3 linked regions of the Coturnix japonica genome follow. The protein of the gene in region 1 purifies or fractionates together with the protein of each later gene. This does not show direct contact. Links are inferred from orthologs where the notes say so. Each region holds a gene or a part of one and is shown in the gene's direction. Other genes may lie near its edges.

The links.
Region 2: the proteins of CLUAP1 (region 1) and IFT27 purify together in Homo sapiens (affinity purification with mass spectrometry; 3 studies listed by BioGRID and IntAct, with this or other methods). This does not show direct contact. The link is inferred for Coturnix japonica from reciprocal best matches to the Homo sapiens genes CLUAP1 and IFT27.
Region 3: the proteins of CLUAP1 (region 1) and IFT46 purify together in Homo sapiens (affinity purification with mass spectrometry; 3 studies listed by BioGRID and IntAct, with this or other methods). This does not show direct contact. The link is inferred for Coturnix japonica from reciprocal best matches to the Homo sapiens genes CLUAP1 and IFT46.

The regions. Positions count from the first base shown.
Region 1 is NC_029529.1:11,260,196-11,263,844, reverse strand, and holds part of CLUAP1 (clusterin-associated protein 1), read left to right. Parts: intron 1-1,000; coding exon 1,001-1,134; intron 1,135-1,368; coding exon 1,369-1,510; intron 1,511-3,649. UniProt on the Homo sapiens protein: Required for cilia biogenesis. Appears to function within the multiple intraflagellar transport complex B (IFT-B). Key regulator of hedgehog signaling.
Region 2 is NC_029516.1:47,150,585-47,154,233, forward strand, and holds part of IFT27 (intraflagellar transport protein 27 homolog), read left to right. Parts: intron 1-56; coding exon 57-166; intron 167-369; coding exon 370-468; 3' UTR 469-3,649. UniProt on the Homo sapiens protein: Small GTPase-like component of the intraflagellar transport (IFT) complex B that promotes the exit of the BBSome complex from cilia via its interaction with ARL6. Not involved in entry of the BBSome complex into cilium. Prevents aggregation of GTP-free ARL6.
Region 3 is NC_029539.1:4,769,305-4,773,480, forward strand, and holds the start of IFT46 (intraflagellar transport protein 46 homolog), read left to right. Parts: upstream 1-1,350; 5' UTR 1,351-1,450; coding exon 1,451-1,753; intron 1,754-2,169; coding exon 2,170-2,309; intron 2,310-2,502; coding exon 2,503-2,577; intron 2,578-2,690; coding exon 2,691-2,784; intron 2,785-3,220; coding exon 3,221-3,349; intron 3,350-3,593; coding exon 3,594-3,715; intron 3,716-3,958; coding exon 3,959-4,025; intron 4,026-4,176. Other genes in the region: ARCN1 (coatomer subunit delta), read right to left, coding at 1,139-1,141. UniProt on the Homo sapiens protein: Forms part of a complex involved in intraflagellar transport (IFT), the bi-directional movement of particles required for the assembly, maintenance and functioning of primary cilia. May play a role in chondrocyte maturation and skeletogenesis.

The DNA.
Region 1 (3,649 bases):
CTAGGAGAATGTGCAAAGAGCAGCCCTGCTGCTGGCTTGTTGCACTGTATGACTGTGTTGGTTTCTCATGTACCTTGGTCTGTCCTCATCTCTGGAATGCTGTTCTTGCTCCAGTACTTGGGCTCTGTATCTCTGAACCACTAGCTGCCCTGGTAGGTACTGTGCAAGTGTAGTAGTTAATTAAATCCTAGTGAATAATGCAAGTTATTTAGCTGCAAACTGTATCCAATCCAGTTCTGTAATTACAAGGCACGGAGTTCCAGGTTTAAAAAGCCAGTGCATAATCAATAGATGCTTCAGGCAATCTTTCCTTATATTTCTCTTCCTGCTTGCAGTCCATGTGAACTTTAAATGCTGTTAATGTGTGTGGATATTCTAGGCAGTAGTGCTAATAAATTAACAGGAAAATATTAGAGCAATTGGCGTCTTGGGAATATCAATTTAGCACATACCTCAGCTGGTTTAGTTCTGGACCTGTCACTGAAATGACCTATTGTAGCTGAACAGCACGTAGCAATTACTGCTAGAGCTTCCGCAGAAGTTCTCTGTCCCCCTTACTCATCACAGTTCCTGGAGCACGAGCACACTGAATGTACTCATTTGTTTAAACAGTCTGAAATATCTCCACTTTCCCCTCCTTATTCCTGTAATGTGTTATGATGTTTGGGATACTTCCTGGATTTGGAAAAGGTAGATACAGCAGGACTCAGAGAAGGGTGAAGGCAATGGGATAGACTGACTTCTTTTTTTAAAGTGACTTTTTTGTGGGTGTTGGTTTCTTTTCTTTCTTTAAAAATGTTTGGAGAAAAAAGCAGGTATTCTAATTGGTAAATGTCCACACGGTTCATTATCCTGGCCACAGAAAAAAAATATTGTCATTGCTTTGCTGGTTTATCTTCTAGCTCATTGTTATAAAGTTATTTGAAAGAATGCAGTAAGAGATAATGCAGAAGCATTATCAGCATCTGAAAGATAATTCTACACCATCCTTCCCTTTTAGGAAGAGGTCCAAAAGACAAAGGACATGTTGAGTAATGTGGCTTTGGACGAAGCCAACTTGGAAGCCAAGATTGAAAAAAGGAAACTGGAGCTGGAAAGAAGCCAGAAGAGGCTGCAGACCCTACAGAGCGTTCGGTAAAGATTATAAACTGATTATTCATTTTCTATGTCAAATTTTCACAGGATAGGTTACTACTCCTTCCTGTTATGCTTTTAGTCTTGAAGTAGTGTGAAACTTTAAAAAGAGAAGGTCCTTTTAGATTGGTTTTGTAGACATGGAAAAACAGCTGTGAAAATGAAAACGTTGTTGCAGAATTCTTCACGTACAGATCTGTATTTCTCTGAGTAGTTTGTTCTTGTTGTCTCCAGTCCTGCTTTTATGGATGAATATGAGAAAATTGAAGAGCAGCTGCAGAAGCAATACACTACCTACCTAGAAAAATTCCATAACCTGACCTACCTGGAGCAGCTCTTGGACGATCAACATCGGACTGAGCAGGAGATGTTTGAGGTAAAGCAGCTTAGAAGTGCTCAGCAAGACTCTGTGCTCTGTAGGCCTTGGCCATATAGCAGAAAGTGCTGTAATACCTGTTAATTGTTGTAGAACCAGCTCAGAATGACTGGCAGTTCACTGATATAAAGTGACAGCTCTCAGACAAACATGATACACCTTTGCTTTTTCAGTTGGTGAAGTTAAACCAGTGTAATGATGCCTCTTTCCAGTCTCACTTTCCTTGATTCTTTCAAATGACATTTTTTGATCATAGAATCATAGAATGGCCTGGGTTGAAAGTGACCACGATGCTCGTCCGGTTTCAACCCCCCTGTTATATGCAGGGTCACCAACCATCGGGCTGGGCTTAATGTTTTCACATCTTGCTTTAATAATGCTCTTAGTTCTTCCCCATATCTTTGGCCAAAAAAAAATAAAAAATAAAAAGTCTATTAAATCCTAATCCAGAAATTACACCTAAAATCTGATTATTTTTTTCCCTTCTGTTCAAATGTCGTTGAGACTTAATACCAAAAGTAGAAATGTTTTGAATATGAGTACCTGGAACTGCTTATGAATTCATGTACAGAAGTTAGTAATGCCTTGGCTTACAGCTCTTGAGAGAGTTTTTATTAAGAGATAATAAGATGAGGGAAAAGCCTTTGTCATTCAGGAGTGTTTCTGTGATTAGAATCTGAAGAGTGCTTTTCTTCTACCTCTGCTTATTCCTTCTATGAGAAACCTAGAGAATCCACCCATATACTTTGGCTTTTCATCCATTATGATAAGCACTCGGCAATACTTCAGCATTGTCCAGAATTAAAGTGTGTAAAGGGCCATGACAAAAAGATGTGGATTTTGTGCCTACTTCTGTTACTTGTTATTTGTGGTATGTATTAGCAAGCATCAGAACTGGCAGCATCTTTAATTAACATGTGCTTGATGTTAAAATACCGTTTAGTCTTCTGCATTTGGAATGTTCTTCTGCACTGGGTTGTTTCTTACTATGATCTCAAGTGATAAAGTTACCTGTGCATCTTTAAATGCATTGTGTTGGCTGCAATCAGCATCGAGTTTTCCACTCACATCTAGACCTACAGCTATAAGGTCATGAAGCAGAACAGGGGGTGCCTTATTTCAAGCTTGAACATAAGCAGTTTGCTCCAAACGGATGCTGTCTTTGAGATTATCATCTGTGTCATTTTCAGAATCAACAGAGGAAGCATAACAAGGATAATTGGATTTAATCTGTTACAGTGTGCAGCCTCTTGAGCTGTTAAACACACTGGAAGTTGTGTTATTTTTTTTCTAGTTGTATTTGTCTTTTGTTCCACCAAACAAATCTTAATTATCTTCTGTAGTGGAAGCGCGAGTCAACTCTTCTATCATTGCCATGCGTTTTGTTAAACAGCTTGCTAGGAAAAAGCAAGGGCAATGTAATTAGATTAATCCAGCACTCTAGGTACTGTTCAGTACTGAGAACTGATTCCCGGACCCCTTTCTTTGACTCATTGAATGTTTTTGAGAAGAACTTGTATTCTGATTGAGAGGCCATTGCTGAATAATGAGACTAATCTTTAGTGCCCTTAGCCTCAAAGCTGTTTTGGTACCCTGCTGACGTTGCACAGCTAATGACATAGGCCAGAGTGCATTTCCTAATTAGAAAAGTGATTTAAAGATTGTACCCAAGCACACAGTTTTAATTAAGTGACATTGAGCAGCTGAAGCAGCATGGCCTTTCCAAACCACAGTGCTGGCTCTCTGTGTGGGTTTCTTTGGTTTGTTCTTTCAAGTGGTGAATGTATGGCTGCATGGAGAGCTGCACTCTGCAGTCCGTGCTGTTGTGGTGTTGAGCTTCATATAGTCATAGAATGGTTTGGGTTGGAAGGGACCCTTAAGATCATCTCATTCCAATCCCTAGGGGACACCTACCCCTGGACCAGGTTGCTCACAGCCCCATCCAGCCCAGATATTCCCATCCTTTTTCCCACCCAATGTCTGCAGTAACATGGAGCACTGCCTGGAGGAAAGCTGGCAGGTATCTCCTGCCAAGCACTGCACTGAGAAACATCCCCCAGTATTAGGAGAATCTTGAAGGCTTGCTATTGAATCTCAGCCAAATGAATTGGCAGAACTGAACAGTTAATTGATGATGAA
Region 2 (3,649 bases), on another chromosome or scaffold:
CTAACAAATCATCATTTCTGAGTTCTATTTCCTTTGTTTCTTTTTGTTTTCTGCAGGTGTCTTAGTGGGGAATAAAACAGATCTGGTTGGTCGTCGAGTTGTGGAACAGAAACAAGCGCAGGAATGGGCTGACAAACACGGCCTGGAATACTGTGAGATGTCAGTAGTGAGTATCTGCTCTTTTCGCCTTCTATAGAAGTGGGAATTTGTGAAGTTATCTTCTCTTTCAGCTGAGGGTAAATGACTGGGGACTCATTTCCACTTATTTGTCCTTTAACTCACCCTCAGTTTTAGTCTCTTTTGTGAAGCTGTTTGAACAGAAATAGTGAAATGCTTAGTTATCTGTCATTTACAATTTTCTTTCTACAGAAGGAGATGAAAAATTTTGAGGCCCCTTTCAACATCCTGGCAAAGTCATTTTACCAGCTGTACAAAGAAAAAGTGGAAATCTTTCATTCACTGGCTTGAGGGCCATGACTGGGATGACTTATCTTCAGAGCTTCTTCTAGTGCCCAGAATCCTATGGACTGGAATACAGAGAGAGGAAAAAAGATGAGCTTTTTGCTTCTTCGCGGTCATCTTCTGGTAATTCAAAATAAACTAGAAATAAGTGAGTGGACAGACATTGTTTTGGAACTGCTACCTTAGCATCACCTTCATGTCTGTTACCTCGGTTCTTTGCTAACTGAAAGTCTGTTAGGTTGGAGAAGGCAGGGAATAGAAGGGGGAAGGCAGAATGGAAATTGCCAGCTTTTTGCCTTGTTAATAGTGCCTTGTCTCATGTCTGAACAAACTTTCTGCTGCTACAAGCAAGGATGTAGAGATTTGAAGGAGGAGATGGGAAGCTGGCAGGATACTTTTTTGCTTAAGCAACCCAGCACTGGTACATACATCGCAGGGCAGGACTGATTCAGCCCTACTACTTGCTAAGCATTTTCAGTTGAAAGTCTGTGGCCTAAAATGGACGCGTAGCGTCTCAGATGTGTGGGGATTGAATTGGATTTAGGTGTGTTTGTGGGAGCACCCACAATTTGAGACCTATTTTAACAGTGTTATTCTTATCAGTTCTAGGATTGATATAGTGATGACTAACATCTCTTTTTAATGACTAGAATTTGGTTTTCTTCAACGAGGCTCTTCCACTGCTGGTCTGTCTTGCATCTATACCACTGTCAATTGGTAACGCAGTGCCCTCTGCTGGCCCTCGGTCACAAAATTTCTGGAGCAGCTTGCTCTGTTGAAGCAAGGACTTCACACAGTCTTAGCCAAATTGGCTTATCTGTAAAATGGAGTCATATGGTGAGAATACCTCTTTTATTCCAGGGGCAAGTCTAAAACGGAAATTGCCATTTCTTCTTCATGCGCTTGTTATTTTATTTGGTTTTATTTCATTTTGTATCTTGTCAGCTGAACTTAGCAACATCATGTTCTCATTAGGCTTAGTTCTCAATCCCTTACTAGAATCAATCATCTTTGTTGTTAAACTTTCCCTGCTTATCCTTGCATTTCAAAGAACAAGCTATTCTGATTTCAGAAGTGGAAACAGGACTCAGGAAATAAAAGACAAACTGGCTAAGTGAATTTGATTCAGCCATGTATAGCTGGAAGTTTTGTATCAAAGGGTAAAGGCATGGACAGAACACTCTGTGTGAGATGTTGACATTGCATATATAAGAATTGCTAATATTTGCTAATGCAGTATGTGAAAACATCCAGTTAAGTACTGCCTTGCAGTTCTAAACTGTAACATTTCCCCTCTTCCAGAACTATTTTAGCCTCCCCTGGGTAAGGAAGGCTAATTTCTGAGGAGAATAAACAGTAAGTAGTTTTTCAGGCAAGCTTTTCAGGAATCTGTGTTTCAATATTTTTATACGTATATTTTATAACCACTTTTATGCCCAGTGCTAGGAATATGACTGCAGATGTTGTAGCAGAGTTTATGAAGCACTTCAAGAATCTGGAATAGCAGCTGGGCTCATTTTACTGGCAACACTATGTTGATGCTGGGAATTAGCTAGGGAGCATGAATACAGTCTAGAGGTTAAGCAGGCACTGAGCCTGCTGGAAAAGAAAATGAATAGGTTGTTGTTTTGTTTTGTTTTGTTTTTACAAATCCACTTGGAAAAAGGTGACAGAACTAGCTGGGGAAAGCTCTTATTTCAAGAAAAGGAGGACTCCTCTGTGGGCTTAGGGTCACTAGACACAACTCACCTTCTTTAGGCTTGGGTTGGCTTTAACTTACATGTGTTGCCTTGTTAATCCTGAGGGTGTGTGTTGATTTACAATAGACTGAATGGAAGTTTGCCTGCACATGCTTGTACCTCTTACTATTAGGAATAACAGTTATTTTGGATGTTGAGCTGATCTAAAGGAGGTAGTTCATTTTCCCCTGCTTCTACTGATGATATGATTGCAACACAAGACTTTTTTTTTTCATCTTGAAAATAGAATACCAGGTGTGTCTGCCACCTGTGATGTGATAGATGGGGGCAGGGAGGTGAATGCCTTAGGAATGGGTGATGAAATGAGTCCTGAACGATCACCTTTAACGGGTGAGTTTAATCTCTCTGCACCAGAAAGACCTCCCATAACTTCAAATAAACAGCTTAAATGCACCAGTAAGATTGGTGAACATTGTTTTATTAAATGAACACAAAAGCTGGAGGATCTCATTAAGGGAGTGCTGGTGGTGATTTGTGATTTATTGGGAAGCTGCTTTTGATAGGTTAGTGAAGAAAAATGCATCCTATGCAGGGGAAGATATATTGCCCAAGTGAGAAAATGTATGATCTAATTAGCTAGCAGTAGGGATTCATCTGGTGCCCCTTTCCTTCTTTCTGCAGGCCAAGACTTGAATTAGAGAAGAGGTTGTGTCAGAAGCACATAGCCCACCTTGCTCTTCATTTCAAGCACTAAAGTAGTCATAATTTAACATCCTTCAAAATACTGTGTTTGTTCATTACCATCTCCATCGTCTGAATGGATTTTGAAAGCATAATATATTGTCTTTTTTAGCTACTAGGCTGTGTAACAGTAGCGTGATGTGGGTGATACTATTTTCCTAGTTCATTTGTGACCGTAGTTATAGAGACCAATAGTGAAGGGTGAGTGGAGACCATGGGAGTCAGATACAAACAGGCTGTGGAAAAAATTTGTTTATGAAGTGAGGATGTTTGTTTGTTGCTTATAGCCTTTGTATCTCCCTGAATTACAGGTGCTGCGGGAGACAGTGGGAGAAAGGCAGAAATCATGTCTGCTGGCCATTGTTGTCTTCTTATAGCTCTCCTACTTTGTCTAGGTATGCAGTGCTGTAGGTGTTACAAGGATAGATAATGCCAGGACAAAAAGAAATGGTTTTAAGTTCAAGGAGGAAAGAATTAAGGTGGATGTCATGGGTAAGTTGTTTACCAAGAGAGTGGTGAGATGCTGGCAGAGGCTGCCCAGAGAGGTAGACGCTTTGTACCTGGAGGTGTTCATGACCAGGTTGGATGGGGCCTTGGGCATCCTGATCTATTATTAGATATGGAGGTTGGTAGCCCTGCATGCAGCAAGGGGGCTGGAGCTTGATGATCCTTGAGGTTCCTTCCAACCCAGACCATTCCATGATTCTGTGTGTTCAGCATGCGTGCTTAGAACCCAGAAGAACCCT
Region 3 (4,176 bases), on another chromosome or scaffold:
TTTTCCTATAGGGCTATGACAAAACCCCAGCAATGCTTTAGGCAAAAACTGACTTATCTGTTAGTTCAGCCCCAGCAGAAAAGTCACAATAAAGACCAGAACACTTTGAAATGTGACATCTCTTCCCAGTGCCACACTTAAACTAAGCCGGGTTAATAAAATATTGACCATTATATTAATTACAGCACGTGGATGGTTCTCCTGGGCATTTCACTGATGTTATCACACCAACAATAGAAAGGCATTAAGGTAACTGCCAATTCACCCTTTCTCATTCTCTCCGCCTCGACTTCGTCCTGAAATACTTCTCTCACAGATTAGTTTCTTAATTAACATAGTGAAGATAAAGCAGTTTCTAAAGGTAAGATCCTTTCACTCCCCAGCCAGTTTTAATCACAGTATCCTAACAATGAGAAGCACCAGAAGTTCTTCAGTGTCTGTACATTTCAAGCATGAACCCCAGCACGGCCAGGTGAGCAGCCAGCAACTGCTGTACATTGAGTGGCCATAGGAACCCTGTAGTCAGGGATATCTTGAAGAAAGCAACAGGCATAAGCCTCCATTTCCCAACTGCTCTTTGAAAGGGCTGTGAGTGCAGCACAGCACAGCACAGCACCGAATGGCACAGCTGATCTCAGCAGCACCTCGGCCTCTGTCACCAAGCAGCAGGTCCCGTTCGGGGACGGAAAGCTCACAGCTCCACGTCACCCACAGCCAACGGGACACAAGTGACCTCCACCCGAGCTGGCAGCTGAGGCAGCAAGAGACGAGGCCTGGTTACAGATGTCAGCCTTAACGCTGCAAGCAGCCTCCACGTTACACATCACGCAGCGCACAGCGGGCAGTGCCCCCCAACCGCCCTGCGGCAGCGCCCGGTAAGCGGAGCTGGAGGCTCCCACAGGCCGCGCCACGTCCGGGCCCGGAGCGCAGCGTCACCCGGCGGGGCAGCACGGCCTGGAGCGGCCCGGGTCCATCGCGGAGCTGCGGAGCGATCCGACAGTGCTCGGGGACGAGGCCAGAGAACGGCAGCGGAGCCGCCGAGCGATGAGCGGCCTGGCCAGGCCCCGCGAGCTCTCCGACCCCGGTCCGGCCGGCAGCGGCCCCACGAGCGGCGGCTGAGCTCTGGGCACAGCCTTACCATGGCGGCGGCTCATGGCCGGGCACACCCTTACCATGGCGGCGGCGCTCGGCTCGGCGCTCGCTCCCTCGCGGCTCCGCGTCCCCTCGGGCAGCCCCACAAGATGGCGGCGCCGAGCCACGTCCCCAGCCGGAAGCGGCGCCGCGCACGACGCGAGGGGCGGGGCGGGGCGGGAGGACCCGGAGCGCGGCCCTGGGGGCGGCCCGCGTCAGTACCGGCCCCGGCCGGCAGGGGGCGACACCCACACGCGGCTGCGGGGCCGGGCCGCGGGCGCCGCTCTAGCCGGGAGAGGGAGAGCGAGACGGGGTCGCCATGGCGACGGAAGGCGGCGTCATGGCGGAGCGGCGGCCGGCCGAGGGGAGCGGGGACGGGCCGGGCCGCGCCATCGCCTCCCCGCGACCCTCCGCACAGCCTCGGCCCGTGGAGAACCAGCCGTACGACGAGAGCCTGGAGCTGCCGGACACCGAGGAGGCGGCGGGGAGCGAGAACCGGCCGCAGGGATCCCGCCGGCCGGGGCCGATCTGGTCGGGAGGAGGCGGCACGGGAGCGCGGCCCAGCGGGGCGGGAGAGCGCGGCAACGACCGGGAGGGAGGAGGAGGCAGCAGCAGCAGCAAGGTACGGGGGGAGAGGGGCGGTACGGCACGGGACGGTACGGCATGGTATGGTACGGTATGGTACGGTACGGTACGGTATGGCACGGTATGGTACGGTACGGTACGGTATGGTACGGTATGGTACGGTATGGTGCGGTATGGTACGGTATGGTACGGTATGGTACGGTATGGTGCGGTATGGTACGGTATGGTACGGTATGGCATGGTATGGTACAATACGGTATGATACGGAACGGTACTGCACGGTACGGTACGGTATGGCTCGGTACAGTACGGTACGATACGGTACGGTACGGTACAGTATGGCACGGTACGGTACAGCACGGTATGGTATGATACGGTACGATACAGTACAGTACGGTACGGCACGGCACGGTACGGTACAGTAAGTAAGGCCGCGTCCCTCCTGCCCTGAAGGAAACAGTGGCCAGGCTGGGACCCTCCACCGCCAGCGAGGACGACGATGATGACGATGATGATGATGATGATGACGATGATGAGGATTCCTCCGAGAGCGACTCTGAGGACTCGGAGGAGCGCGGGGCTTCACTGGAGGGGTGAGCAGCGGAGGGAGCCGGGAACCCGTGGCTTAAAAGGGTTGAACAGAGTTGTGCACGGACAGGAAGCCTCTTACAGTGAGAGTGTCCTGCTTCTGCTTTGGGGCACAGCTGGATCCATGTTCGTGCCTTTGTTCTTGTACAAAAACTGATAGGAAGTAATGTCTGCAAGAATTGCTTTTCCTCTCTTCAGTGACTACAACCTCGCAAACTATGACTACCTGCCGGTATCTCCTGAAATTAAAGAACTCTTTGAATACATAAGGAGGTGAGTTGAAGGAGCTTTCGCCTGCCCTGGGTTCTCCTTTGTCTCAAGGTCTTTGTCTCTGGCAGGAAATGTCAATTGCCCACTATGCAATCCTGTTGTTTTTCTCTCTCAAGATACACTCCGAAAACAATACAGATTGAGCACAAACTGCAGCCTTTTATTCCAGACTTCATTCCTGCTGTTGGAGACATTGATGCCTTCCTAAAGGTACAGTGTTTTCAGATATCCCCATACCTGCTGACACACAGGGTGAAACAGAAGGTGGTTTAGATATGAGCCTGGCAGACTGCAGCCACACTGACCTGGTGGTAGCGAGGTGCCCTTGCCCTGTGCTGCAGATACTGCTGTAGACACCTAGGAGATCACAAATAGCAACACTATGACCTGGCTGGTCACTTTGGTAACATCCCACATAGCACATATGTAATTTGGTGCAAGGGCTGCCTGTTTCTTTGTCCAACACCTTATGCATTTCAGGTACCGCTGTGTTAACAACTCGTATTTTCTGCTCTTTCAAAGCATCACGCTTACAAATTTCTTCTGAATTGAGTCTGAATTTCTAACAACAGGGAGAAGCTGTACAGAATAGTTCCAGCATCCCCTGCTACTCCCATAGAGGATTCCTTCTGTGTTTTACCTGCAGGTCCCACGCCCAGATGGCAAGCCTGATAACCTCGGTCTGCTGGTCTTAGATGAGCCATCAACAAAGCAGTCAGATCCCACAGTACTCTCTCTTTGGCTAACGGAGAATTCCAAACAGCACAACATTACAGTGAGTCATGGGGAGAGAGAAAACATTTACTGCACCCAGGCTAGAATGAAGACATTGCACTTTACTCTTTGTGGGACTATAGCAACACAACACAACTGATAACTTGGCTTTAAAAGCAGAAAAATAACCCTTTTTGACCTATAGCTTTAAACTGAAATGTATCTAAGCCCTGCCTCAGGCAAGTCTCAGTACAGACTTAGGAAAACCACCACAAAGTGCTTCCAGGTTTCTATTTTTGTTTCAGCAGCAGATAAAAGTGAAAAGTGTGGAGAATGCAGAGAAGAACCCCAAAGCCATTGACAACTGGATTGAAAACATCAGTGAACTGCACCGCTGCAAACCTCCTGCCACTGTCCACTACAGCCGGTGAGTCATTATGTCAGCAGAACATCAGGTCAGTGGGTGGCAAAGTCCAGGAGCACTGAGCAGGATGATCTCAGTGTCTCTGAGAGGAATAAGACGTGCTGAGTTTCAGGCCAGTTGTTCTAGCGTGTTTCTTTAGCCTTAGTGCTAAGACTGTCTGTCCCATTCACAGCAATGGCAGTAGGAAGCCATTTCAGCTTCTTGCCTGCAATCCTAATGTTTCTGTTTTTCTTTCTTCCTTTACAGGCCCATGCCTGACATAGAGACCCTCATGCAGGAGTGGTCACCAGAATTTGAGGAGCTCTTGGGAAAGGTATGGCATCCAAGTGTCAGGCACAGCATTACAAATTAAAAATGTTCAGGGCTCAGCATTAAAAATGATCCCACTTGAAATCTAGATTTCTCTTCCTCTTTGACCAGTTTGCTTGCACCCTGTTCAGTTCAGATTTGTTCTTCACTGAACA